Nothobranchius furzeri: one gene and its partners. The protein of the gene in region 2 purifies or fractionates together with the protein of the main gene of each other region. This does not show direct contact. Links are inferred from orthologs where the notes say so. Each region holds a gene or a part of one and is shown on either strand. Other genes may lie near its edges.

Evidence for each region.
Region 1: the proteins of cpsf1 (region 2) and fip1l1b fractionate together in Homo sapiens (co-fractionation; 8 studies listed by BioGRID and IntAct, with this or other methods). This does not show direct contact. The link is inferred for Nothobranchius furzeri from reciprocal best matches to the Homo sapiens genes CPSF1 and FIP1L1.
Region 3: the proteins of cpsf1 (region 2) and sympk fractionate together in Homo sapiens (co-fractionation; 5 studies listed by BioGRID and IntAct, with this or other methods). This does not show direct contact. The link is inferred for Nothobranchius furzeri from reciprocal best matches to the Homo sapiens genes CPSF1 and SYMPK.

The regions. Positions count from the first base shown.
Region 1 is NC_091747.1:75,987,834-75,995,964, forward strand, and holds the start of fip1l1b (pre-mRNA 3'-end-processing factor FIP1), read right to left. Parts: upstream 4,877-8,131; 5' UTR 4,722-4,876; coding exon 4,643-4,721; intron 4,317-4,642; coding exon 4,262-4,316; intron 2,306-4,261; coding exon 2,239-2,305; intron 2,137-2,238; coding exon 2,024-2,136; intron 1,803-2,023; coding exon 1,738-1,802; intron 1,619-1,737; coding exon 1,508-1,618; intron 1,347-1,507; coding exon 1,216-1,346; intron 1,101-1,215; coding exon 982-1,100; intron 1-981.
Region 2 is NC_091751.1:1,598,947-1,607,162, forward strand, and holds the start of cpsf1 (cleavage and polyadenylation specificity factor subunit 1), read left to right. Parts: upstream 1-3,876; 5' UTR 3,877-3,999; intron 4,000-4,072; exon of another isoform or gene 4,073-4,117; intron 4,118-5,997; exon of another isoform or gene 5,998-6,705; intron 6,706-8,216. UniProt on the Homo sapiens protein: Component of the cleavage and polyadenylation specificity factor (CPSF) complex that plays a key role in pre-mRNA 3'-end formation, recognizing the AAUAAA signal sequence and interacting with poly(A) polymerase and other factors to bring about cleavage and poly(A) addition.
Region 3 is NC_091747.1:24,058,218-24,066,601, reverse strand, and holds the start of sympk (symplekin), read left to right. Parts: upstream 1-3,493; 5' UTR 3,494-3,622; intron 3,623-3,941; 5' UTR 3,942-4,007; coding exon 4,008-4,067; intron 4,068-5,069; coding exon 5,070-5,135; intron 5,136-6,877; coding exon 6,878-6,931; intron 6,932-7,109; coding exon 7,110-7,183; intron 7,184-7,279; coding exon 7,280-7,406; intron 7,407-7,490; coding exon 7,491-7,740; intron 7,741-7,836; coding exon 7,837-8,007; intron 8,008-8,298; coding exon 8,299-8,384. Other genes in the region: solute carrier family 35 member F5, read right to left, coding at 931-1,012, 1,114-1,176, 1,619-1,768, 2,163-2,297. UniProt on the Homo sapiens protein: Scaffold protein that functions as a component of a multimolecular complex involved in histone mRNA 3'-end processing. Specific component of the tight junction (TJ) plaque, but might not be an exclusively junctional component. May have a house-keeping rule.

The DNA of each region.
Region 1 (8,131 bases), on a different chromosome or scaffold from region 2:
ATATTTGATAAATATCACGATAAATAACATACAACTGTTTGTATTTTAACATCGTCCTTGTAGTTTTATAAGCTGATAATTAAACTGAAGCAAACATCTTTACTGTGAACTAAATTTACTGTGTATCTTCATTCCTTTTGCCGTCTTTTTTCATTTGATTTTTCCTACTGGGAAGTTAGAATTTCCCAGGAGAAAGCGAACGCACCATTAGCTGATAACATTGGTAGCAATGGAAGCTAACATATCAAGCTAACGTTATCTTAAACAGTTTATTTAGCTGCTGGAGCAGATTAAAACGATGATGCCTCACACTTAGATCGTTGTCGCTGGTTTCATCTTCACCCAATCACCCGTCACATTTAGTAAAGTGAAGCCAAACTTTAGAGCGCGTTCATGTTCTTCTAGTCGGGAATTCGGAGTTCCGAGGAGAAAGCGAACGCACCATTAGTGAAACGGAAGCTAACACATCAAAGCTAATTATATTTACCTACCGGAGCAGATTAAGATGAGGATGTCTCACTTAGATCGTTGTCGCTGGTTTCATCATCACCCAGTTACCCATCACATTTAGTGAAGTGGACCCAAGCGTTAGCGTGCGTTCTTTCTACCATGCTGCTCTGTTTACAACTTGCTCGCAGCGAGCGACAACATAACGCTCTTGCGCATGCGCAGCTGTCTAGGCAAGTTCTCGTTATGAAGGACGGGTACCGAAACGAGGCACCGTTTCAAATGACGTGAATCGGTGCTCGGTCGGTACTATGGAATTCGGTCGGTACCTTAAAAAGTACCGAATTCTGTACCCATCCCCAGGAGCTCATCTACCCTCAGTCCTTTTACTGAAATGGCTCAAGTATTTCCACAGGGACACAACTGTTGTCCTCAGGTAGACCAACCAGGATGGGAGTAAAAGAGCTGCGGCGCGATCTGCCCGTGTGCGTTTTACTCAGGATACGGAACGAGATGAGCAGAAGCTGGAGTCACCTGGTGAACTGGTTGATGGCAGACTTGTGCAGGCTGACGGGAGAGGTGAAGTCTGTCTTGGCAGCGTGAACGGACAAGCTGGACACGTCCTTTTCATTCCCCGTCCTGCCCTGCTGAACCTAAGGAAACAGACACAATGATTGTTTTATAGCAGGTAGCGAGGGAGAAAACGTTTTAACACGAGTTCTTTCTAACTGTACAGGTGTTGTGAGAAGATACTAGATGGTTTCATACAGTGATCTTGCTCATCACTGATCCAACCGTAGAGACCTCCAGGCCCATTCTCAGCCTCTTCTGCTTCTCACAGTACGCCTTCCAGGTGTCTTCATTGAACCCGTAATTGAAATAGTCAGAAAGATCCGCTCCTACACACAGAAACACACACTCGCTATGAAACACACACTCACAGACTACAGTTGGAGCCCGGAAACATTTTATTTAGCGAATCAGTTTCAAGAACTTCTGAGAACATGTTGCTTGTCTCAAAGGATTTTGTCTAAAAAACAGACACCAACACACAGCAGACCTGGCTTCCTCCAGGGTTTCTCCTCAAAGGACTCCATGTCTACTTCCAGCACAGGAACACCGTTGATGTTTCCAGGAGCATCCAGATCCACTCCCTTTAGCTTTGTGGTCACTGGAAATGAAAACACATTACTAGTTACGTTCGCAAAAGTAAAAGTGCAACTGAGATTTACTTCATGTAAGGTTAAACCGTCAAATGTGAACACTGATGCAACAAACAGGAAGTGACACCTTGTCCGTAAGGTCTGGAGCTGGTCGACTTTATGTTGAGGTTGACTGGAGGCGCTCCATACGTCCTGGGAAAAAAAACGAGTCGACAGTGATGTAGAAAAACTGTTTTCTCACGCTGACTTCATCCATTAAAACTGATTGATCAAGTTTTTTGTTTTAAATTAGATCTTCTTTCCCTTTCTTGCTTCACATTTGGCTTTTTTTGTTCATGTCGAAATAAAGAGGCAGAAAAAAATGACAAAAGTGCTGAAATGGGAGTCGTTTTTAAAACACGATTAAAGCCTACGGGTATTGTGGTGCTCCAGTTTTTATGTCACCGATGGTCACACGGACATCGTCGTCGTCGTCATCGCTGTCGCTGTCACTGTCCACATCCTCACCGGCAGCTTCCCCTGTGGCCTGAGAGTTCAGACAAAACAAGCAAATGAGATAAAAGATCATCATCGATCAGAAAACAAACACAAAAAGGACAAAAATATAAGAAATGCAAAGATTACCTACCTCAGAGGCCACGCCGTTTCCTGTAGCCTCTGCAACAGCCTCTTCTGTTGTTATGTCAGTGGGTAAGCTGTTGGTTAAATGTACAAACACTTTGTTGTTCAATCAGAATTCATACTGAAACCGCCCTCGTCGTGCTGTCATAGATGCTCAGTACACACAACAACCTATTGAGTCAGACATCTTTAGTTGTGGCAAATCAATCCATCAATCTTTATTTGTATAGCAGCTTCCACTGCCTTTGCAGGAGCCCAAGCTGCTGACATTAAATACAGTAAAAACACAGATAGCAATAAAAACGAGGTAAAAACAACATACAGACATAATCGCATACAACCAGGTCATATAAAAGCCAAATGATAAAAATGAGTCATCAAACGACTCTTAAAAACCTGCAGCAAAGGTGATCGTTTTATATCAAATGGAAGCTCATTCCAGAGAGAAGGAGCCAAGACTGAGAAAGTCCGATCCTAGGGTTGGGCATCGAGCATCGATTGGAACCGGGATCAACTGTTAAGTTTTTCCCGGAATCGTTCAAAGTTTTTATTTCGATTCCTAGAATGCCAACCAGAAGAATCCGCGACCGACCTCCGTGAAAAATAAACGTGATCTGCAAATTGTGATCAACACTTTTCAGAGCTGATCACAGCAGCTGTCTGTGTGCAGCACCGAGCCCCCCCCCCGGATATAAACAAACACGTCCACCGAACTTTTACTCCGTAATGTAACTTTAACTCCTGCAGCGTAGAGGAAACTTGTTAAATACGTCAACACGGTGGATTTAATAGAAGCTTTAAAGAACAAACTCTGCAGAAATAACACACACGGAGCGTCAGCCGCTCAACAACACTCTGTGTGTGTGTGTGTGTGTGTGTGTGTGTGTGTGTGTGTGTGTGTGTGTGTGTGTGTGTGTGTGTGTGTGTGTGAGCGTGAGCATCAGAAGGCTGAACAATAACCTGTAGAATAATTAAAGTCATCATGCTAGAGCAGCTTCTCCGTGGTGGACCACACCAGCTTCTGCCACAATAAATAATTATAATAATAATAATAATAATAAATCACACACAAAGTTGTGAAATTTCCTTTCTGAACTATTTCTGTTGAGTTTTAATGTTTAAATCTGTTAGATTGTTACTGACAGCAGCTACGTTTAAGTTTCACTTCCTGTTCTGACTGAATGCTGCTGCAGCATGGAGGTGTGGTTCTCAGTCATCCTGGACATGATCATCCTGAGAGCTTCAGCTGAAGACAGCTGGACGTTTCTGGATATGTTGGAGACATTTAGCCTCTCATCCTAGAGGCTTCTTCCAGACTTTGGTTGTGGTCAGAAACAAACACACTGGTTGTGCTGCAAGTCTTTTTCTTTTGTTCTCCAAAACATGTTTTTGTCTAAATGAAGGTGATGTTGTTGTTCATAGAATTAAAAATCATGTTGAGGTTAAGATAATTTCATCAAGTAGGACCTGTGGTTAGCTGGCTCATGTAAAACATGTCATGTCTTGAAAGAATCGGAATCAACAGGAACCGGAATCAAAACGAGGAATTGAAATTGGAATTGTTCAAAATCAAACGATGCCCAACCCTACCAATCACCTCTAGACCTGTACCTAGTTTGTGGGACAGTCAGTAGCTCCAGCTCAGCCGAACGTAGAGGCTGTGATGGGGTACGTCTTTTTTTATTAATGCTGCCAAGTAAGGTGGAGCACCACCATAAAGAGACTGAAGACATAGCACATAACTTTAAACTTAGCCCGAAAACCTACAGGGAGCCAATGTAATAAGACCAGCACAGGAGTGATGTGTGCCGACCTCCTTGTCCCTGTCAGAAATTTGGCCACAAAGTTCTGAACCAACTGTAGACGACTCAGTGCTGCCTGGCTTAGCCCAAATCCACCAACCAGCACCTCTCCGCTTGTATTTATGCCCGGATTTTTGTTTTATCCTCGTTTAAAACTATTGTGTGAGTTTTAAGCAAGTCTAATGTTTTACAGATCATTAGATTAAAGGTGGTGGGAGTGGTTGTTACCTGGTAGCAGCGATCAGTTTGGCTTCTTCCTCCTCTTCTTTACTTTCTGATTCATCTAAAACATAAACATGAAACTTTTAGCCCTTTAATAATAAGCACTTCGTGTAAAGTTTTACCTGTTGAGTCATTGGGATTTTACTTCATTTAATCACAGTGAAAACAGTGAACTAAATAGATGACTGTCTGTGTTATGCGTCTTTAACTTTGTTCAAAAGCATGCCGCTGTTGCTGAAGGCCGACACACGAGCGGTGCTAGTTAGCTTATCGGCTAATGCTCCCATCTCCTCATTACTCGTAGATAAATCGTCATAGACAGAGCATCAAACATATTTATATCTGTATGTGTCGGCGTGGAGATGCGGTGTTGGATTGTTATTTTACCTCCATAGAGCCATTCTTCCTCTTCATCACCTGCGCTGGCATCTGTGGTGGTCGTTTTGTCCGCTTCCTCCGCAGACATCTTCAGCCAAAACCACTCGCTGCTCCAACAGCTAACAGCAGCAACAATGTGTAAAATTTCAATAATATAAGCACAATCTAACCCTTACAGGGAAGAACTTTGATAAATTATGTATCTATTACTTCATAGAATCATATTCAACCCCTTTGCAAATGTGTATGAACCCGGAAGTGATTGAGGATTCTTGAATCCCGCTAAGGTCGGAGTATGGAGTGGAACCGAGCGCGCCCCCTGTTGGACAAAAGAGGCACCGTTTACAGTACTCCCAGGTACAAGTTGGTCGATTATTATGCTGTATAAAATTAAATTAAATACATTTAAATGCAAATTTACGTAGCTTAAAAAGTGCAAATGTTCATCTGAATCAGAATCAAAATGAGAATAGTGTTTTATTGCCAGAGGCCCTAATAGGGTTTGATGTGTAGAATAATTTATAGCCTATAAGAGATAAATAAATTGATATTAAGGCAGATTTAAACTCTCAAAGGCACAATGCGTCATGTAATCACTTTTTACTATGTAAAAACACGCCAATTAATTATGAGCAACAAATTAAAAAATAACTTGATAAAACTGGAACAAAATTTATTTCCATGTATCTACATTTTACATTTAATTTAATAACAAAACAGATATTTTATGTTTTCTCTTAACGTAGTATGGTGACGTTCAGTGTCACACCACTTTACCACTACAGGAGGACGAGAGTTTTCTTTTTACTTACACACATTAAATATACTTAATTTGATCTGAGTGCTCCAGCCGCCTTTTTCTACTTCTCAGTTGTCAGTGCCAGCTGTTGAGCGCTGGCTGTCATTTGAATGATGTGCAGTGTGCCTATTTATTTCTTTTATGAAATATGTTTTACAAATAAAACTTGATACTGTAACTATCTAGAACAAAAGTTAAAGCTTCTTAAGGGAAAAATTTTCCTTCAATATTGAGAAAAAAATCCTAATGAAATTTTGATTAAATGTTGCGTAAGACCACTTTTTGTCAATATTCTTTTGAGAATTGTGTTCATTCATTAAACGGCACTCACAAATGTGTCTAAAAACTAAAAAATTGTTAATTGTTTAGAACCATACGTAAAACTTGCTCAGTGAAAATTCATGCCCATAATTAGAAATAAATCTTGGTGAACTTTTGACAAGAAGTTGATTGTAATATCGACTGAACAGATTTCTTTTAGTTAATTGCCGTCATCCATCAGATAACACTTACTATAAGCCAGAATTATGTTTTTAAAACAAAAAATTACTCATTTAGAGCCAAAGTTAATAACTATTACGAGTGGTAAAAATAGTGTACATTTAACCCAAATACTGGAAAAAATATTTATGCATTTTTGTAATGTCATTTCATCACCACAAGAGGCTGACATTATTCTTTTTTGAGCCCTTACCACAAACCAGAATTATGTTGTAAAAATTAAACAATGTTAATTGTTTGGAGTAAAAGCTAAAACTTACCAAGTGACATTTTTACCGCAGTTATTCAAAAAATATGTATAAATTTTTGGTGAAACCTTGAGGGTAATACATTTAACCCAAATATTATGAAAGAAACAATAACACATTGAAATTTTTTTTAAATTTGTGTGTAATACCACTAAATATTCATCAGAAGTCAACAGTTTTAAAGTAGTGTTGCAATAATAATGCATGAGAACAACAAAGTACGGTAGCACTTTCTGTTGTGACCTGGTGACCCACAGGTCACATCATGGGATTACATTATTTCTTTATTAAATCAGTATATATGTTTTTAAACAGAAGTTGTTGTAATTTCGTACAATTATAATTACAGCCTAATTATAATACCTGTAAATGTTATTAGTTAATTGGTTCATAAATCAAAGTTAACGGTTCACTTGAATTCCCCAAAACTGTCAATGGAATTAAGCTAGCAGCTTAGATGAGTGTGCTATAGTGAACTACACCAAATTCTTGCCTTGCAGGGGGAGGCGACAAGATGGCGGAGTGAGCAGTTGGTCCATAGCAGGATGCAAAGGGAAAACAGTTTTTTTCAAGTCCAAACGTTGCTTAAAGGTAAAAAAAAAAAAAGCCATAACATATTGGAAGAGACTTTCATTCGTTTTTTTTACAAACTGAGGAACTTTTTGAAGAGCTAATTACGGTGTGAGAGAGTGAAAGATGGAACAACGTGGCGAAGCTAGCATCGTTGATCATAATTATGGCATTGCTGTGATGGATGATATGAGTGAAAACGAACCCCAAAGTGTGGAGCAAGCTGATAAAAATCTCGAGGACAGTCAAACTGATATGAACAGTCCACAACCCAAAAAGCTGAGGAAGAGAAGTGTGAAGGCAAGAGAGGAGAGTACAAATAATCTTGTGCAAATGATGGAGATCCCGATCAAAAAATTTGACGGGCTGGACGGGAAGTTGGAGAACATTGAAGTGAGAATGAACAATGTTCAAGAAGCTCTAAAAAAGTTGGATGCTCTAGAAATCAAACTACAAAACATTGAAAAAAGCACAGAAGACACGAAGAAAGAAACAAATGTAAACAAAGAAAACATCACTAAACTACAAAAACAAGTTGAGTTTCTGGGTGTCGAAAATAAAGCTCTGAAAGAGAAGGTACTGGAAGCTGAGAGGTACAAGAGGAGATGGAACCTCAGGCTTCTTGGATTAGCTGAAAAAGAGGAAGAGAAAATCAGAGAGGAAGTTATTGGCATACTCATAAGAGTGGTCCCCGTGTCTGTCGACGAGCTCTGCAGGAATGTGGACACCGTTCACCGTTTGGGAAAAAAAGATGCAATGAATACCAGGCCAAGGCCCATTATCATTCAGTTTGTGTCACGTACGATGAAGGAAGAAGTGTGGAAGATGTCGAAAGAGGCCAGAGTATGCAAGGAGAAGATCATCTTTAAAATGGACTTCTCCAAAGAGGATCGGGAGGTGAGGGAGAAGCTGTGGCCCCAGGTGGAGGAAGCCAGACGACGTGGAAAGAAGGCCTTCTTGAAGGACGGATACGCAATCATCGATGGGAGGAAGGTCTATATTTGTTAGAAATATGATACATTTCAATATTCAGGAAAGGCCCAACACACTTTTTTTCTAATATACTGTTCCTCTGTTAAGATGGGCTGCTATTTTGAGAATGAGATCTCACCAGACCAAACAGCCCAATGTTTTTTATCTTCTGATTGTTAAAGGTGGAGGTTTTGGATGAGCTATAATCTAGTTGGACAATATTGCTCATTCCTGCTGTTTGGATAAATCCAGAGCGGATAAACTAGGTAACATTCCTAGCCATTTGTTTTGTTTGGTATGTCAGTTTTGTTTACTTCTTTGAATGTTAAAGGGTTGAAAAACATCATAAAGCGCAAGGCACTTTTTTTTATTTTGCAAAGAGCTTAAGGCCAACTTAATTTTGTTACA
Region 2 (8,216 bases):
CTTGAGATACCCAGGACGAACCTCATCCGCCCCCGGGGCTCCGCCGCTGTGTAGTTGTTTGACTACCTCAGCAACTTCTGCCCCCGAGATCGGACAGTCCATCCCCAGGCCTCCCAGCTCTGGTTCCTCCTCAGAATGCGCATTGGTGGGATTGAGGAGCTCCTCAAAGTATTCCTTCCACCGTCCGACTATAGCCTCAGTTGACGTCAGCAGCTCCCCATCCCCACTGTAAACAGTGTGAGCGAGTTGCTGCCTTCCTCTCCTGAGGCGCCGGACAGTTTGCCAGAACCTCTTTGGAGCCGATCGATAGTCTTTCTCCATGGCCTCACCAAACTCCTCCCACGCCCGAGATTTTGCCTCGGCAACTGCCACTGCTGCACCCCGCTTGGCTATCCGGTACCTGTCTGCTGCCTCTGGAGACCCACAGACCAGCCACGCCCTGTAGGCCTCCTTCTTCAGCCTGACGGCTCCCCGAACCTCTGGTGTCCACCAGCGGGTAAGGGGGTTGCCACCACGACTGGCACCGGCCACCTTACGACCACAGCTAGCAACAGCCGCCTCGACAATCGCAGAGTGGAACAAGGCCCACTCGGACTCAATGTCCCCCACTGCTCTCGGGACGTGGTCAAAGCTCTGCCGGAGGTGGGAGTTGAAGACCGTCTTGACAGGTTCTTCTGCCAGGCGTTCCCAGCAGACCCTCACTATGCGTTTGGGTCTGCCAGGTCTACGCGGCATGTTCCCTTGCCATCTGATCCAACTCACCACCAGGTGGTGATCAGTTGACAGCTCCGCCCCTCTCTTCACTCGGGTGTCCAAAACATACGGCCGCAGGTCAGATGATATGACTACAAAATCTATCATCGACCTGTGACCTAGGCTGCCCTGGTACCAAGTGTACCGGTGGGCATCCTTATGTTCGAACATGGTGTTCGTTATGGCCAAACTGCGGCTTGCACAGAAGTCCAATAACAAAACACCGCTCGAGTTCTGATTAGGTGGGCCGTTCCTCCCAATCACACCCCTCCAGGTCAAGCTGTCATTGCCCACGTGAGCATTGAAGTCCCCCAGCAGGACAATGGAGTCCCCTGATGGAGCACTATCTAGCACTCGTCCCAGGGACTCCAAAAAGGGTGGGTACTCTGAACTGATATTTGGCCCATAAGCACAAACAACAGTCAGGACCCGTTCCCCGACCCGAAGGCGCAAGGAAGCTACCCTCTTGTCCCCCGGGGTAAACCCCAACACACAGGCAGAGAGTCTCGGGGCTAACAAAAAGCCAACCCCAGCCCTCCGCCTCTCACCCGGAGCAACTCCAGCAAAGTAGAGTGTCCAACCCCTCTCCAGGTCTCGGGTTCCAGAGCCAATGCAATGTGTCGAGGTGAGTCCGACTATATCTAGCCGGTACCGCTCAACCTCTGCCACAAGCTCCGGCTCCTTCCCCGCCAGCGAGGTGACGTTCCATGTCCCAGAAACTAGTTTTCTTGTCCGGGGATTGGACCGCCAAGGCTCCCGCCTTGGTCTGCCACCCGATTCGCATTGCACCGGACCCTTCATGTTCCTCCTGCGGGTGGTGGGTCCACAGTTGGACGAGCCCATGTATCCGGTTCGGGCTGGGCCCGGCCGGGCCCCATGGGCGAAAGCCCGGCCACCAGGCGCTCGCTCACGGGCCCCAACCCCAGGCCTGGCTCCAGGGAGGGACCCCGGTAACCCTCCGGGCCGGGTACTCCGACTCTTCGTTTTAACCGCCATGAAAGATCCTTCGAACCGTTCTTTGTCTCACCCTTCACCTAAGACCAATTTGTCATGGGAGACCCTACCAGGGGCACTAAGTGCCCCAGACAACATAGCTCCTAGGATCATTAGGGCACTCAAACTCCTCCACCACGATAAGGTGACGGTTCAAGGAGGAGTTTTGATTGTTAGTAATAAATCTTTAAACCTTTAAACTTGACTCTCTCCTGTTGTCTCTGAGTGAATACGAAGCTGATATCTAATCTGTAATAAAAAGTTCCAATCTTCTGGTTAAAATAACCCAACAGATCCATAAGGTTGATTTCATATTTCCTATGGAATCCTACGTCTTATGGCTTATTAAATAACATGTAATTTAAATTAATTACAGTAATGACACACCTCCCAAGGCTGTTTTTCGATGCATTTTGCTAATAATGTTGCCAGGTTAAACCAGATTGCTTTTAACAGTGATGGCACATCTCCCACGGCCGTTTTTTTTATGTGTTTTGCTAATAATTTCGCCATGGTAAACCAGATTGCTTAAAACAGTAACGACACCCCTCCCATGGGCGTTTTTTGATGTGTTTTGCTAATATTGTTGCCACGATAAACCACATTGTTTAAAACAGTAACGACACACCTCCCAAGGCTGTTTTTCAATGTGTTTTGCTAATAATGTTGCCACGGTAAACCAGATTGCTTAAAACAGTAATGACACACCTCCCACTGCCGTTTTCGATGCGTTTTGCTTATCATTTTGCCAGGATAAACCAGATTGCTTGTAACAGTAATGGCAAATTTTCTTCATGTTTATGTGGAAACCTTTGTGGTGAGCAGCAGAGGATGACCTTCCATGTAAAAACAAATAACGTGATAAATCTTCCTTTCTGGCACCCTAAATATGTGTCTGTGTGAAAGATTTCCTGCTAACGCCATGCAGAAATGTCACAGTTGGTGTTTACGTTTTTGATATATTCATCATGAAGCCCCAACTTCCCCTATGTTTTTGGCTGTTCCTGCAACCAAAACTATTTATTATCACCTAGTTTTTTCATTAAACAAGTAAAAAAATTCCTGAAGCGCGTCCACAAAAAGACTTTCTGGTTTTTTGGGACAATTTGGGAACTAAATGTGCCTGTCACGTAGCATTTAAAGCATTCTGTAATAGCTTCCACTAGGGACTTTGTAAACTGATCCATGTCTGTGGTTGTAAAGATTTGTAAATCACACAGGTTTTTAAAGATATACTGATGAAGGTTTTCAAACAATTTAGGCTGGATTTTAAATTTTAACATGCAAGCTTCTAACCATAGTCTTTTATAAATGATTTCCCAGATTGCTTCCACCTCTTCTGCAGTGACACATTTTTCGATTTCCTGAAAAGCTCTAAAAATGACCATTTTAATTAAAATACTTATTGACGTTTGACACTTTAATTGTCTTTTTCTTCGTTCTCTATTAAACCTTTCTCGAGAACGCCAGCTTGATGGTAGGTAATCGCCTGCTGTTCTTCTAAAAAGCTGTGTAACATTAGGTTGAATAGATCTCTCTGACAAGTTAAACTTTAAATCTGTGTCTGCCATTTTAAGGACTTATAAAATTATGCTTTTCAACAGTTGAGATCAAAGGATTAAGGTCGCACCAATAATGACGTATCAAACGAATGTTCGTGACGACATACACAACAATAGAACGCGTAGTCCTTAAGCCCCGCCCTTCTTGACTGACAGCTAACGTGTCTGCGTCATAGACCGTAGGTCTGCGTGCGCACGTGACTGTGTGCGCGCGCAGGTAAATGGACGAATGTGACAGCTTCAAAGGGTCTGATTCCCAGTGCTTTTGATTTCAGAAAAAAGCACCAAGGAGGCTTCTAGTGACAGATACTGCATAGGCGTCATTTTAACCCCGGACGCCAGCAAAATTTGTGATTGGCAGCTGTGCCCCCCCCTCCCCCAAAAGCCTGCCGATGGGGATTTTTTTTTTTTTACCAGCTCAGATCTTATACCTACCTCTGCTCCCAGCAGATAGTCTATAATATACTTTATAAATGTCGCAACTGGCATCTAATTATTTATACTTGAGCTTTAAATAAAAATAAAACCGTAATCAATTTAGATTAATTTGTAACATTTCTAAAAAACCGCCCTGCTGTTGCTGTGTACTGTACCATGCTATCCTGCAAGCAGGGGTCAGCAGTTGTGATAAACAGGAGAGCACGTCACCCACACAGCTCAAGAATCCCTTATTCTTCTTTAGCTCCAAGAGGTAAGCAATGTTATATTTTATTAAACACCAAAAGAAGGTGATATTTTAATGTGATTAATGCAGGGGTCCTTCAGGCATGCATACGGCCACCTCAGCTGTTAGCGTGTAGCTGGTGGAGGTGAGTACACATGAGCAGAATTATATGTTGTTAATAAGTCGATTTTAAGTTGAGTTAAGTAGCTTTTGTGACTTGTTTCTGACATGTGAGGGCTCTTGGGAGTGTTCTGTGAGAAGTTTAGCTGTAGCTTTAAAAAGAAAAGCAAGTTATATGGGTGATAATGCTTCGATTAGCGTGTTGCTAATAGAAGCTAACTTCTCGTGAGTGAGTGTTAAGTTACTTAGCTGTCTTTTTAACCTGAACAGAATGTGATGCTGGATAACACACATTAGCCACGTTTACATGTGCAAAATCTCCTCTATCTGATTAAAATCTTGGCTGTTCAGAAATCCCAAATATCTGTTTACATGGACACTAATTTATGCACCAAGCATTCAATTTGAATAAATAGGTTGAGCATGCGCAGAGAGTTGTCTTTCCCGGAAAAAAATGGTAAACAAACGCCATGAAACGAAATGAAAAATGTAATGGGCAGAATTTTTGATCTGATTGGGTGTTCAATCCAATTACTTGTGCCCATGTAAACGTGGCTAGTGATGGAAATTGTGTGCTCTGTTATACCCATCGACATATAAATATTGGATAATGGGTTTCCATAGGCTCCAATAACACATTTTTGAAGATAAATGGGAGGTGGCCACCACCGCCTCTTTGACCGTGTCACAGGTTCCGTCAAGCCCAGACAATTCCACAAAAGGGAAGAGAGGTGGAGCTGAGGGTGGGGCTGTAAAGCTTGGTTTATGCTTGATGCATTCACTTTCCACTTGGTGATGCGGCTCGCGGATGGAACGCGCTTCACAACTCGCAGCGTTTATGGTTCATGCGGCTTGTCTCTGCGGTGAGCCAATATTCTCCCAAACTGTAGGGGGCAGCATGGAGCTCTACGGCATGCATCCAACACTACACCATAGTAGAAGTAGAAATGACTGTTGTTTACAACATGGCATTCCAGCATTTTTTAACAGCGTCCTCGTCTTTTCCGACAGTGCGAGCTATTTCTCTCCAAGAATTATTAACAACATGTTGATCACGGTGATCTCTGAGAGCTGAATCATACAAATGTTTTTCCGTGTCCGACCGTCCGCGTGATTAGAAAACTTCCTAGGTGCGCGGTGCGGAAATTTCGGGCCGTGCGGAGACGTGGTGGAGGGGCGTGGTTGTTAAAATGACGCAATTTCACCGCGCTGAGCCGTGCGGACCGCGCGGACGCGTCAAGCATAAACCAACCTTAAGGCTGGGATCAACTGATGACACCCGGTCGAACTAGCTACAAGCTAACCCAAAGCTAACGCGGAGGTGGGAGCTAAGCTAACTGAGGTAGCAACGTAGCTACAACTGGAGTTAAATGTGCACAACACCAGAGCTTCTGAGTCAGAGATACGCCGGGCTGACCGCTGGGTAAAACCGGGTGGAACACAGAGGTCTCCGAGACCTCCACAAGCTGGTAGCCGCACAGCAGACTAGCGCCGCTGCGATCTGAGATGCGCAGAGCTGCCGCTGGGGAGAACCGGGTGGAAAGGTTTCCATCCCAGAGCTCCACAAGCCGATAGTGGGAACCCAGCTCCACCAACATGTTATATTTCAACCCATTTTCTAAAGTGCAGCATTATGTTAAATGCACTGGGTTTTACCCTATTACATTTAAATTTCATGGTTAAACAGTACATGTTAAAATCTAAGCTCAGCTCGGCAGTGACCTAAAATACATAAATATAATTTTACTTACCGAAAAAAATGAAGTGGAGACTCCTTGGATGCTCTATTAGTGCAATTAATGCCACAGCAAGTCATTTTGTCCAACAATTGCACAAAAAATATCCAAACAAGAATACACAAACAGAGACTCAAAATCCCGGAGCAGTTTCCAGGCCAGACCGAGGCTCTACTGAGGCCTTTCCACTGAGCTAGCTCTGCGGTCACGTGGGTCTGATGCTCATTAATTATACAGAATTTTAGGCTTTTAATACACTTAAACAGAAGAGTGAGAAAAACATTCACCCCCCTCAGAGTTGTCATGAGTGTAAACTAGATCATTTAAACCTAAAACATGTTCTGGTACAAGGCTGTAAACATGTTTATTTCTGCTGTGAAATTGGTATTTTTAACATGGGAGTCAATGAGGATTTGCTCGCTTCTGACACCAGCCCCTAGTGGATGAGGGTGGAACTGCAATTTTTGTCACTTCCGCGTTGGCCTCAATTTTTCACCCGCATTGGGGGGCGTGGTTATACCAGGAAGGCTCGATGTATGAATGTTGTTGAAGAAAAATGTATTTGTGTTACAAGTGTTGTTAGCAACTTTTGGTTATCCACCATAATCTGTTTTTATGTAAATTGTGGAAAAATAAACTTGAATAGTAATAATAATAACCACTATACAATCACGCAGTACAGTGACACATAAGTTGGTGGAGACCCCTGTGTGAGGCTGGATAACACACATTGATGGAAATTGCGTGTGTTCTGTTGGACCAGATTGCTGCCAATAAAAGCATGTTGAAGAATAATCTGGTGCCATAATCTGCTTTTTGGTGAATGTGGAGCACAAGAGTGATGACACAAATTGTCCAGACCACATCTACTGAACAGGTCAGAAGGTGATCCGTTACATTAGCCGCTCTCCCTTTATTTTGTTTGGATGCCTTGATGAGTCTTTTGAAGCTTAAAATAATATGAAGGATTCTTTAGTCAAAGATGGATCAGTTAACTGTTTTATCAACAGAACAAAAAGGAAAAGGGAAATAACCATTAGGTTTGAATGCACACAAATACAGATTGTGAACACACTGAGAACAGTAGAACAGTTAAATTAAATTTAGCTAAAAAAACAATTGGTAAACCAATATTAAATGCATATTGGACTTGATGTTCGAACTGTAATCTTAATAACTAATGCTGTTTGAGTGTGTTTGAGACAGTAAACAAGTGGATTGTGTATGCTTTATGTATTTTTCCAAGTCAGGTGGAGAGTTAATGGTGGCCAAAGATGTACACCCATCTCTCAGATGTACCAATGAAAGCTGCGGCTATTTCTCTTTTGTCTAGCCCAGGGGTCGGCAACCTGTTCCCAGCAAAGAGCCATTATTACCCGTTTCCCACAGTAAAGAAAACACTGGGAGCCACAGCAGCCGCGGCGTTGTGGGCGGGGCCTACCCTCAGACAGCAGAGAGCTGCTTTAACCAATCACAAAAGGTGACAGCAGCCAGTACCGGTCGCTCGTGTAGAAAACTTTTTTTCCGGCTCCCCTGGATGTGTAGGATATCCAGCTCCCCCATAATTCGATCCCTGCTCCTGGATGAAAAACCGGACATTTTCATCAATACAAGAACCCCCCCACCCCCCGGGACAGAGAGCGAAAAGTGGACATGTCCGGGGAAAAGAGGACGCATGTTCACCCTAGTTTAATATAAAGCGGGAGATTACAGATGCAGTACTTTGCTCGTGCCCTTGCTGCCCTGGGCCCTTTAGAGTTCGAGGGCCCTGGGCAATTGCCCAGTTGCCCATATGGTTAATCCGGCCTTGCCTACAGCGGTACATTTCCACACACACACACACACACACACCATAAAGCCCCAAACTAAAAGAATCCCTTACCTGTAGAAATAATCCTCCGTGCACCCAGTGTACAGCTCCGACACGCTGCCCCACCTGTCTGTCAGGACGCCAGGTAAACGCTCTCGCTCAGCTGGACACAATTGGGGCTTTTAAAGAGCCAGCATGATTACACGGGGAGGCAGAGCGCAACGATCATAGAGAACAATGGCCATCCGTCACACAATGTCAAAATGAGGCTCAGTGTGTGTGTAGCCTTCATGTGCATGTATGACCTTCCTGATGGTGGTTGGAGCGTTCGGCAGGCCTCACCTCTGTCAGTGCGCCCCATGGCAGCTACATCGTAGCTCATCCCCACCAGTGTGTGCATGTGTGTGTGAATGGGTGAATGACTGATTGTGTTGTAAGGTGCCTTGGGGGGGTTGTAGAACCCTAAAAATATGCTATACAAATACAGGCCATTTACCATCTACAACACCTGGGCATGCTCCTGATGAGGTGGCTGATGGTTTCCTGAGGGATCTCTTGCCAGACCTGGACTAAAGCAT
Region 3 (8,384 bases), on a different chromosome or scaffold from region 2:
GTCTGGAGCCAAAAATGTGACTCATTTAAAAGTAATTTTAATTTCATCCTGACAAAAATAATAAAATAAATTAAAAAGTCCTCTCTGCACCACTAGTTGAACCGAAGTAACAACCTATCAGCAAACAGAGGAAGAATATTTCTGCTGAGATTTTCTCCATTTCAAACAGATTCAATGTTCTGTGACAACAGGTTCAGGTTAACCCTTCCACTGTCTTAATGAGTGACCCCGCCAGGAAAGTTGACCACTCAGCAGGACTGATGGTTTATCCCTTGAGGTCCACGTGGCAGGGGTGAGGTGGTGCTCACTCCTCATTCCTGCCATGTGGACCTCAAGGGATAAACCATCAGTCCTGCTGAGTGGTCAACTTTGCTGGCGGGGTCACTCATTAAGACAGTGGAAGGGTTAAAGTGCGCCTGAAGCACAAAAGCAGGTAGAAATGACTATTTGTTATTTCTACAGCAGGAAGTAACAATGAATGTGCAGCCAGCAGCTTTGTTGTCATTTCAGAAAAACCAAGAGTTTTCATCCACACGTGGGTAAACGGCATTTAAAACCTCCACTTGTGAAGGTGATTTAGGAACACAAAAAAATGGAGTTGTTTACTCTTTACTCTGATTATGTTCTCATAAACACAGGTTTCTTGTATATTTTCACTTCTGGATGATTTTTTCAGCAGTGATGTGACACGAACTCTAAATATGTAAATATGCAACTTTTTCACTCGTCTCAGAGCAAATTCTATTTACTCTAATAATTTTCTGTTTCAATTTCAAAAATGTTCAAAGCCTCAGAAACGCCCCATTAAAATGCAAGCGTTTTCTATTATTTAAAGCCTTAGTAAGAAGAAATAAATAAATCTAAAAAAAGAGACTATGAATTATGTTACCTTGTTTATAATAAAAAAATTAAATTAGCGTCTGTACTCACAAGTTTCACAGTCTCGATTTAAACAATCAGAGAAATCAGTGGGTACATCCTGGAACTTCACTGGGACATACAGGGGTTCACTCTGCAACCATGACAAGAACAATCAGCTCCAAAGCATACCAAGACTACTTGGAGTTCGGCATTAAATGCACAATTATTCAAAATTTTCTCTAAACTACATACCAAACAGTTGTTCACAGTGTTGTCGTTGGTGCAGGGTGCAAAGTAAGCCTCAGCATCTGCAAACTACAGGATAAATAGCATCAGCTTCTACAACAAAATCAAGAATTCCTTCTGTGGCTTTGTGTGATGGAGAATGGATTCTACAGGAATCAATGTGTGATGTGTGAAAAATAAAGTCAGTAACCATAAAAGAAAGTGATTTTTTTATCCTGGTGCAGGTTTATACAAACAATGAAACATTACTGTTGTAGTCTAAGGCAATATCACAAAAACCAAAACACTTCCGATCAAAGGTGTGCTGGTGAAGCTTCTCAGTCATCCAGGTCGTGATAATCCAGAAGAGTTCTAATGAAGGCAACTTGACTTCTTTGGTTTCACGAAGATGTTTGTCACTTCTCATTACAAAGTTCCTCGGATGAGAAGTAAAACGTCTTCATGAAACTGAAGAAGTCCAGTTGCCTTCATTTGAACCCTTCTGGAATATCCACCAAAGGGTTTAACTTACAAATGCAGAGTGTCTGTGTTTAAGCGTGCCAGTACACTGCTGCCTCCAGGGCCGCCACAGCAGGAACCCCAGCAGATACAGCACAAACATGGACGTCTTGGTGAAAGTGCTGAAGAAGGGTTTGTTGTATTCCTGTCGCTTGAAGATGTACTAAAGGGAGATTCAGAGAAACAAAATAATTTGTTTTATGTAAGTAAGTACATTTTATTTATATAGCACTTATCACAGACATAGAATCACAAAGTGCTTCACATAGATCAAAACAAAGTCATAAAATCAAAATGCTCTGAAAACAGAATAAGATTAACATCAGAAAAAATAGTCATAAAATCATAAAATTATATGTTGTTGGAAATCCGACACTTTTCCCACGCCAGGTTTATACTCTCCACATCTCACTTCTGATGCTACAACTAACTTTTTTGACTCCGCCTTTAAAAGCAGTTTCACAAAACTGTTTTGCTCAATCACTGTGAACATGTGTAAAGAAATCCACCCAAAACAGCAGGAGTGAAAACCGGACAAGCTGTGATAAAATCCTTACAGAGGTTAACTCAGAGGATGCTACCCAGATGACATCCACCAGCAGGAGGATCACCACCCCCAGGACCATCCGCCTCCGCTGTGCTGCAGAGCTGCTCTGAGAGCTCATCCGGTTCATGACGAACACCCACTCCATCAGGACGCTGAAAAACATCCAGGTGTCAACAGGAAGGCTTCCCTCTCTTTGATGTTTATAAATCATATATTTATTTTATATTATGATCCTGACATAAAAGAGATTTTAATTGTTAAAATGTGTTTTTAAAAATTGTATTTGGAAACAAATCTCTAAAACTTAAAAAATGAGTTGAAATACTTAGAAAATGTTTTGATTTTTAATATGACTCAAACTTAAATGAATAAAGAACACAGTTTACGCAGAACTTAATTAGGTTGAAATGTTTTGTTTTAAAATGTGATGATTTAGGTTTTCATGCAGAAAATTGTGTACGTTTGTTAAAATAAACTGATTTTGTCAGCAATGCATAGAAAATACAACAACATTGTTTATCACAGCCAGAGCATTCAGAGGACAGACTAAAAACTAATTACACTAAATGAGGAATTACATCGAACAAGCAGGAAGCTCTAAAAGAAACTGCTGTTTTCACGTCTTAGCTGTCAAACTCTTACCATCGTTTAAAAAGAATAAGATATATGCCCAAGGTCTGTAATTAAACTTCACTTTTAAACTGAACTTTTGGCCGCATTTCCACCTCATTTGTTTGGGAAAAGGATGTAAACAGAGTCGCTGTTTAGCTGCCTGTTTCACAAGCTAAGCGCTAACAAGCTCGTTGCAGTTATGCGATTAAAAGCGTAAGAAAATGTGATCTTACCTGAAAATGTGACGTAGTCATTTATTTTTTTTACCACTGTTTGATTGTCAGTTCATATTATGGTGCAATATAAACGAAATCACTGTTGTTGCAATGAAACTGTAGTCAGATCTTGGTTGTAAACATTAGCATACCCACCCCTTATCAGTCAGGTGACATCACTTACTGTGCAAAGATTTCTGGGATTTGAAGTCTTAAAAGAAAAAAACTTTGGGATCTTTGTGCCGCTCTAAATATAAAAAGATGGTCTAATGAAATTTTATTAATAACATCTAAAGGTGATTCGTGTCACTAGATTGTTGAGACTGGGATTTTAAGCATTAGTTAATCTTATGAGGCTTTTTAAAGGGACACATTCAAGTTTTAAAGTCAAACCAAGCAAGTATTTGTGCTTAAAATAGAAAGGCAATATAAAAATAAAACAGAAGATGAATTCCCTGTTTTTCTTTTTAGATTTGACTGAATATTTAATATTTTGTTTTTGCATGCTTTTCACTGTAGGTGGCGACAGTGCGCCAAGAGGTTAGAAAAAGAAGTAGGGGTACGAAGAAGAAGAACAAGAAGAAAGCGGCTTCTTTTCCGCGCTAATAGGTTTTTCCCATTTATGTAATGGAAAATATACTAAGTAAGTGCGTTTCTCTTACGGAACATATATAATTTCTACATGAACACAAAAACAGGTCTGTTAAGTGGCGTACGTTTGTCAAATAATGTTAAAGCTGCTATTGAAGTTAGCAATGCGGTTAGCATGGAGGTGCTCGCTGACTAGCATCACAGAACGAAGCTAGTAATGTTGAAATAATGTCAATTAAAGCCTTATTAATGTGCGTAGGTGGGAGGGAAGCGTTTATTGTTTTACAACTAAGTTTTCTTCTCACCGTCACTGTAATTGGTTTAGCTTAATTCATGTTTTAGTGTAAATATTGCAAACATTTTGTTTCTAGAATCTGACGTTTATTGGAGTTTTTAAAACCTTGCCGTCAGGACTGTGAGACACACAAAGCAGCAACATGGAGCTTTCTTCAGTGGAGGAGGGAACTCCCAGCGTCAACATCACCACAAGTGAAAAGGTAAATTAGACAAACACTCACGAATAGAGCATCCCCGGTACGGCACTGAACATTTCTTCATGCAACATAGTTTAAAGAGGGACACCATAGCACTGAGATCACTGTCTTGATTAATAGTCTGTAATGTCTTTTTTATTATTCAATAAGATTATTTTAATTATATTATTTTCCCCCTTCAGATTATGGGATGTACAAGTTAAATATACATGAATTAATATATTTTCTAATAATTACTGTTTCCATGTTGGTGTCGAGGCTTTAGAAAACTTTCTGTTATGCTGACTGTGATGTGGTTCCAGAATCTTACATACTGTGTTTTCCTCCAAAAGAATTTCATCTTTTCATTTTGTTTTTAATTTAAAGTTTAAATTTGTGAGTTGAATAATTTCCAATAACACCAGACTTTAACCAGCAGTCACTGGTTGTTCAAACTAGTTGTTTGTTGTTGTGTGTGAGAGTGTTTTGCTCTCCTGTACAGCACTTTGGTTAGCTGCCATGCTATTTCTAAATATACTTTATAAATAAACTGCTATGGTCTGGTAAATACATCTAGCTCAGTTTGTATTAATAAAAACAACTATTATTTTTAGGGATTTTGATTGAATTTCCTTTTTAATGAGCCTATAAATGTCAGTTCACTCTAACATACATATTGTAGATGTAGATGACCCCAACATTTAGGAAGGTTCTTCAACAGAGGCTCACATCTGTGGACTGAGGTTTAAGATTGAGTGTCTCATTATTGCCTTTAAAGCCAATGGCTATGACCAGAATCATAGTCACTTGGATGGAAAATTAAAGCAGTTTTACTCCAACTAACCCATGTCACAGTAAAGTCACCTATATCTCCGAGTATGGGGCAACTTTTGTTAAACTGCAAAAATTGTCTTTTCTAATAATAACAACTCAGTTATTTGTTTTAGTCGTGTACCAGTTGTGTTTTTACTTAAAAGTAAATCTGCTTTGAAAGAGAAATTCACTGGGTTTTCTTTTTCCTTTCAGGTTGTGGAGCTGCTGAATCAAGCTGCTCTGATGCCAACTGATGAAAAGCTAACAATTCTCAAACAGGTTTGCTGTCTAATTATTGCTGCAAGTACCAACTAAAACACACAAAAATTACAATAACTTAGAACATTCCAGATCTATGATATTTTGAATAAATAATCTGTATTCTAAAGGTTTCTCCTGCTTTTAACATGCTCAACATATAATCTGGCCCTCAATATTAGAGGTGTGAATCTTCACTTGTCTCCCGATTCGATTACGATTATTGGGTCAACGATTCAATTCGATCCGATATCCCGATGCATCACGATTATTTCATATTGATTTGTTTTCATCGATAAATAGAAGATGTCAGATAATTGCTTTTTTTTTAATCAAAAACGTAATTGATACAACCTGCCATCCCTCAAAATCTCTCCATTCACAACAGGTTAGGACAAAACATTTAAGAAGATTTAACAAAGTAAAACAATCTGTTTCCTCGTTCAACACCACGCCTCAGGCTGAGAAAACATGCTTTACAAAATCTCACAAAATCTAAAAAAGTACTGAAAACCCACAGGACACAACATAATGTAGTAATAAAATCCATAATGGGTTCATATATGAGTGTTTAATGTCTCTGAGCAGCTCTAGAGTCAAATATTTATGCTGCAGTTGAAGGGTGTCAGAAATAACACCAAATGAAATGTTTGACTTAGTTTATTTTATTTGAACCCAGTGGTTCGTTTCTGAAATGTTGGAGAATGAATCAAGTTCTGTTTGATGCAGAAAATAATAAAACATAAAACAAATTCTACACTTCCAATAATATTTAAGATGTGTGTTTTATTCTTCCTGATAATAACACCAGCAGAAGGCTGTGGGCTGGATTAGGATTAAAATACCCAGCTGATAGATCTCTTTCACTAACCAGCTAACTACAAACCTTTCCAGTAACCTGTCCTGTGTCACCCTCACCATGTAACCGTCATGTCCATGCTGTCTCTGGAGGAGCAGATATGAGACAAGTCTCCTGTAACCTAAAATGAACCAAAGCTTCCTCCCAGCTTCTCTTTAAGCTGAAGCTAACATCAGTTTATCATCATGAAACAAAAGAATAAAGTGGAACAAGAACTTCTTTCTTCTATTTCTCTCTCCTTTTAACTTCTCCGTGTCCCTAAATAAAAGAGACAGACGATCACGCTGCAGCCGCCGTCATTGACCCCGCCCCCTCCCCCGAGACCGGATCTCCCAGCATTACAACACTTGGTCTGACTGAGCGCTTCCAGGAGAAAAAAAATTAAATTATGAAAATAATAATGCGTGTTTGGAGCATCGCTTTGGAGGGGCGTCCTCCGATCCTCTCGTGTGAGCGGACAGTCTCTCTCTCTCTCTCAGTCGCTGAGAGAGCGGAGCGCGCCGCGTGACAACCCGCTCAATTAACATATTTCACGGCCCAAATCCAACAGAACCGGTCGGGCTGATTTGGTTCCGGTTCGGTCTCAGGTTACAACTCAAGCGCTCAGCCCTGCAGTACCACATTAATGCGGAACCACTTGGTAAATGTGGAGGACGCTCACTCTGACAGATTTGGATCTGTGCTGGTGCCGCCATTAAAAGAACAAAACTACATTCCACCATAATCGATTATGGCGTACTCTTCTACGATGCAGAATCGTTTATGTCCGCATCCCGATGCATCGATTATTTGATTATTTTCCTCAGCTCTACTCAATATGTGCTGGATTATAATCTATTAATCAAGATCTCTTCAGAAAAAGAAGCTGGAGTAAAACAATTTTGACAATATGAATTTATTTCAGGTTCAGGAGCTTATCATCAACAAGGATCCTTCTCTTCTTGATAATTTTTTGGATGTAAGTATGGGCACATTTAGGATTCCTCATTAAATATAACAAGACAAAAAAAGGATTATTTACTCTCCCTGAGTGAGTCTCAAAACCAAGCTGTCATGTCTCTGGATATTAGAACATGTTATATTTCAGCACACATTGTCTTTTTAACTTACTCTTATTCCCGTGTTTTAAACTGTAGGAGATCATCGCTTTCCAGACCGACAAGTCTATTGAAGTGAGAAAGTTTGTCATTGGGTTTATAGAGGAGGCCTGGTGAGTAATGAAACATCCAACATGTCCAAGCTTAACATTGATCAAAAGAAAAGCAGAACTTTCTCAACCTTTTTTTCCTGTTACTGATTTTTCCAGTAAAAGGGACAACGAGCTCCTGGTCCGACTGATCGCCAACCTGAACATGCTGCTGAAGGATGAGAGCGTTAATGTGGTGAAGAAGGCCATCCTCACCCTCACTCAGCTGTACAAAGTTACGCTACAGGTCAGCGTTCCTGTCCCTGAATTCACCAGCTCGCTCCTTACATCCTCGAGATTCTGATTTCTTTCCTCTTGACTTTCACGCCAGTGGTTGGTGCGTGTCAAAACCATATCGGATATGCAGGAGGCATGCTGGAATTTGGTTACACAAATGACCGGGGACGTTTTGATCCTACTCGACTCTGAGAATGATGGTGTTCGCACGCATGCAATCAAGTTCACAGAATCTTTAATCATCACCTTGTCACCGCGAACAGCTGAGTCTGACGTCCCCAAGCAACAGGAAGGGGGCATCAGCCTGGACAGAGTTCCCAAAGACCATTCCTACATTCGCTACGGTACACATCTTAGGATCTTACTGAGACAAAATGTAATGTTTAAAGCAATTTTGATCACTTTTGAAAGTGTCTTTTGCTGTGTGATCAAATGTACAGATACTTTGTGTGAGGAGGGGAAGACTGCACTTGAGAAGCTGCTGACGTTCATGATCCATCCAGCTATTTCCAGCATCAACCTCACCACAGCGCTGGGCTCGCTGGCAACAATCGCCCGACGGAGACCGATGTTCATGTCCAAAGTGGTCCAGGCGTTTGAGACGCTGCACGGTGAGTCTGGTTCCCAGATCCTTCCCAGGATTAGATATCTGTACGAAAACATGATCGGGTTCTCCTTTTCTTTAGATTTTTCTTCTGAGGAAACCTCAGAAGTTTTTCTTTGGAGTTTGTTTCCTTTAGTCAGTCATTTTCATTACCTTTGACCAATGAAACCCTTCAGGTATAAAAACAGCCCTAAACTCTGATGTTTTCAGACGCAACATATAATTGAATAGGTTCTCGATAGTGGAGGATGTTTTTATCATCAAACTGCAGAATATAATCGATTTATTCTTTTTTTAGCTAATCTACCTCCGACTTTGGCCAAGTCTCAAGTCAGCAGCGTTCGAAAGAATCTGAAGCTGCAGTTGTTGGCGGTCCTCAAGCAT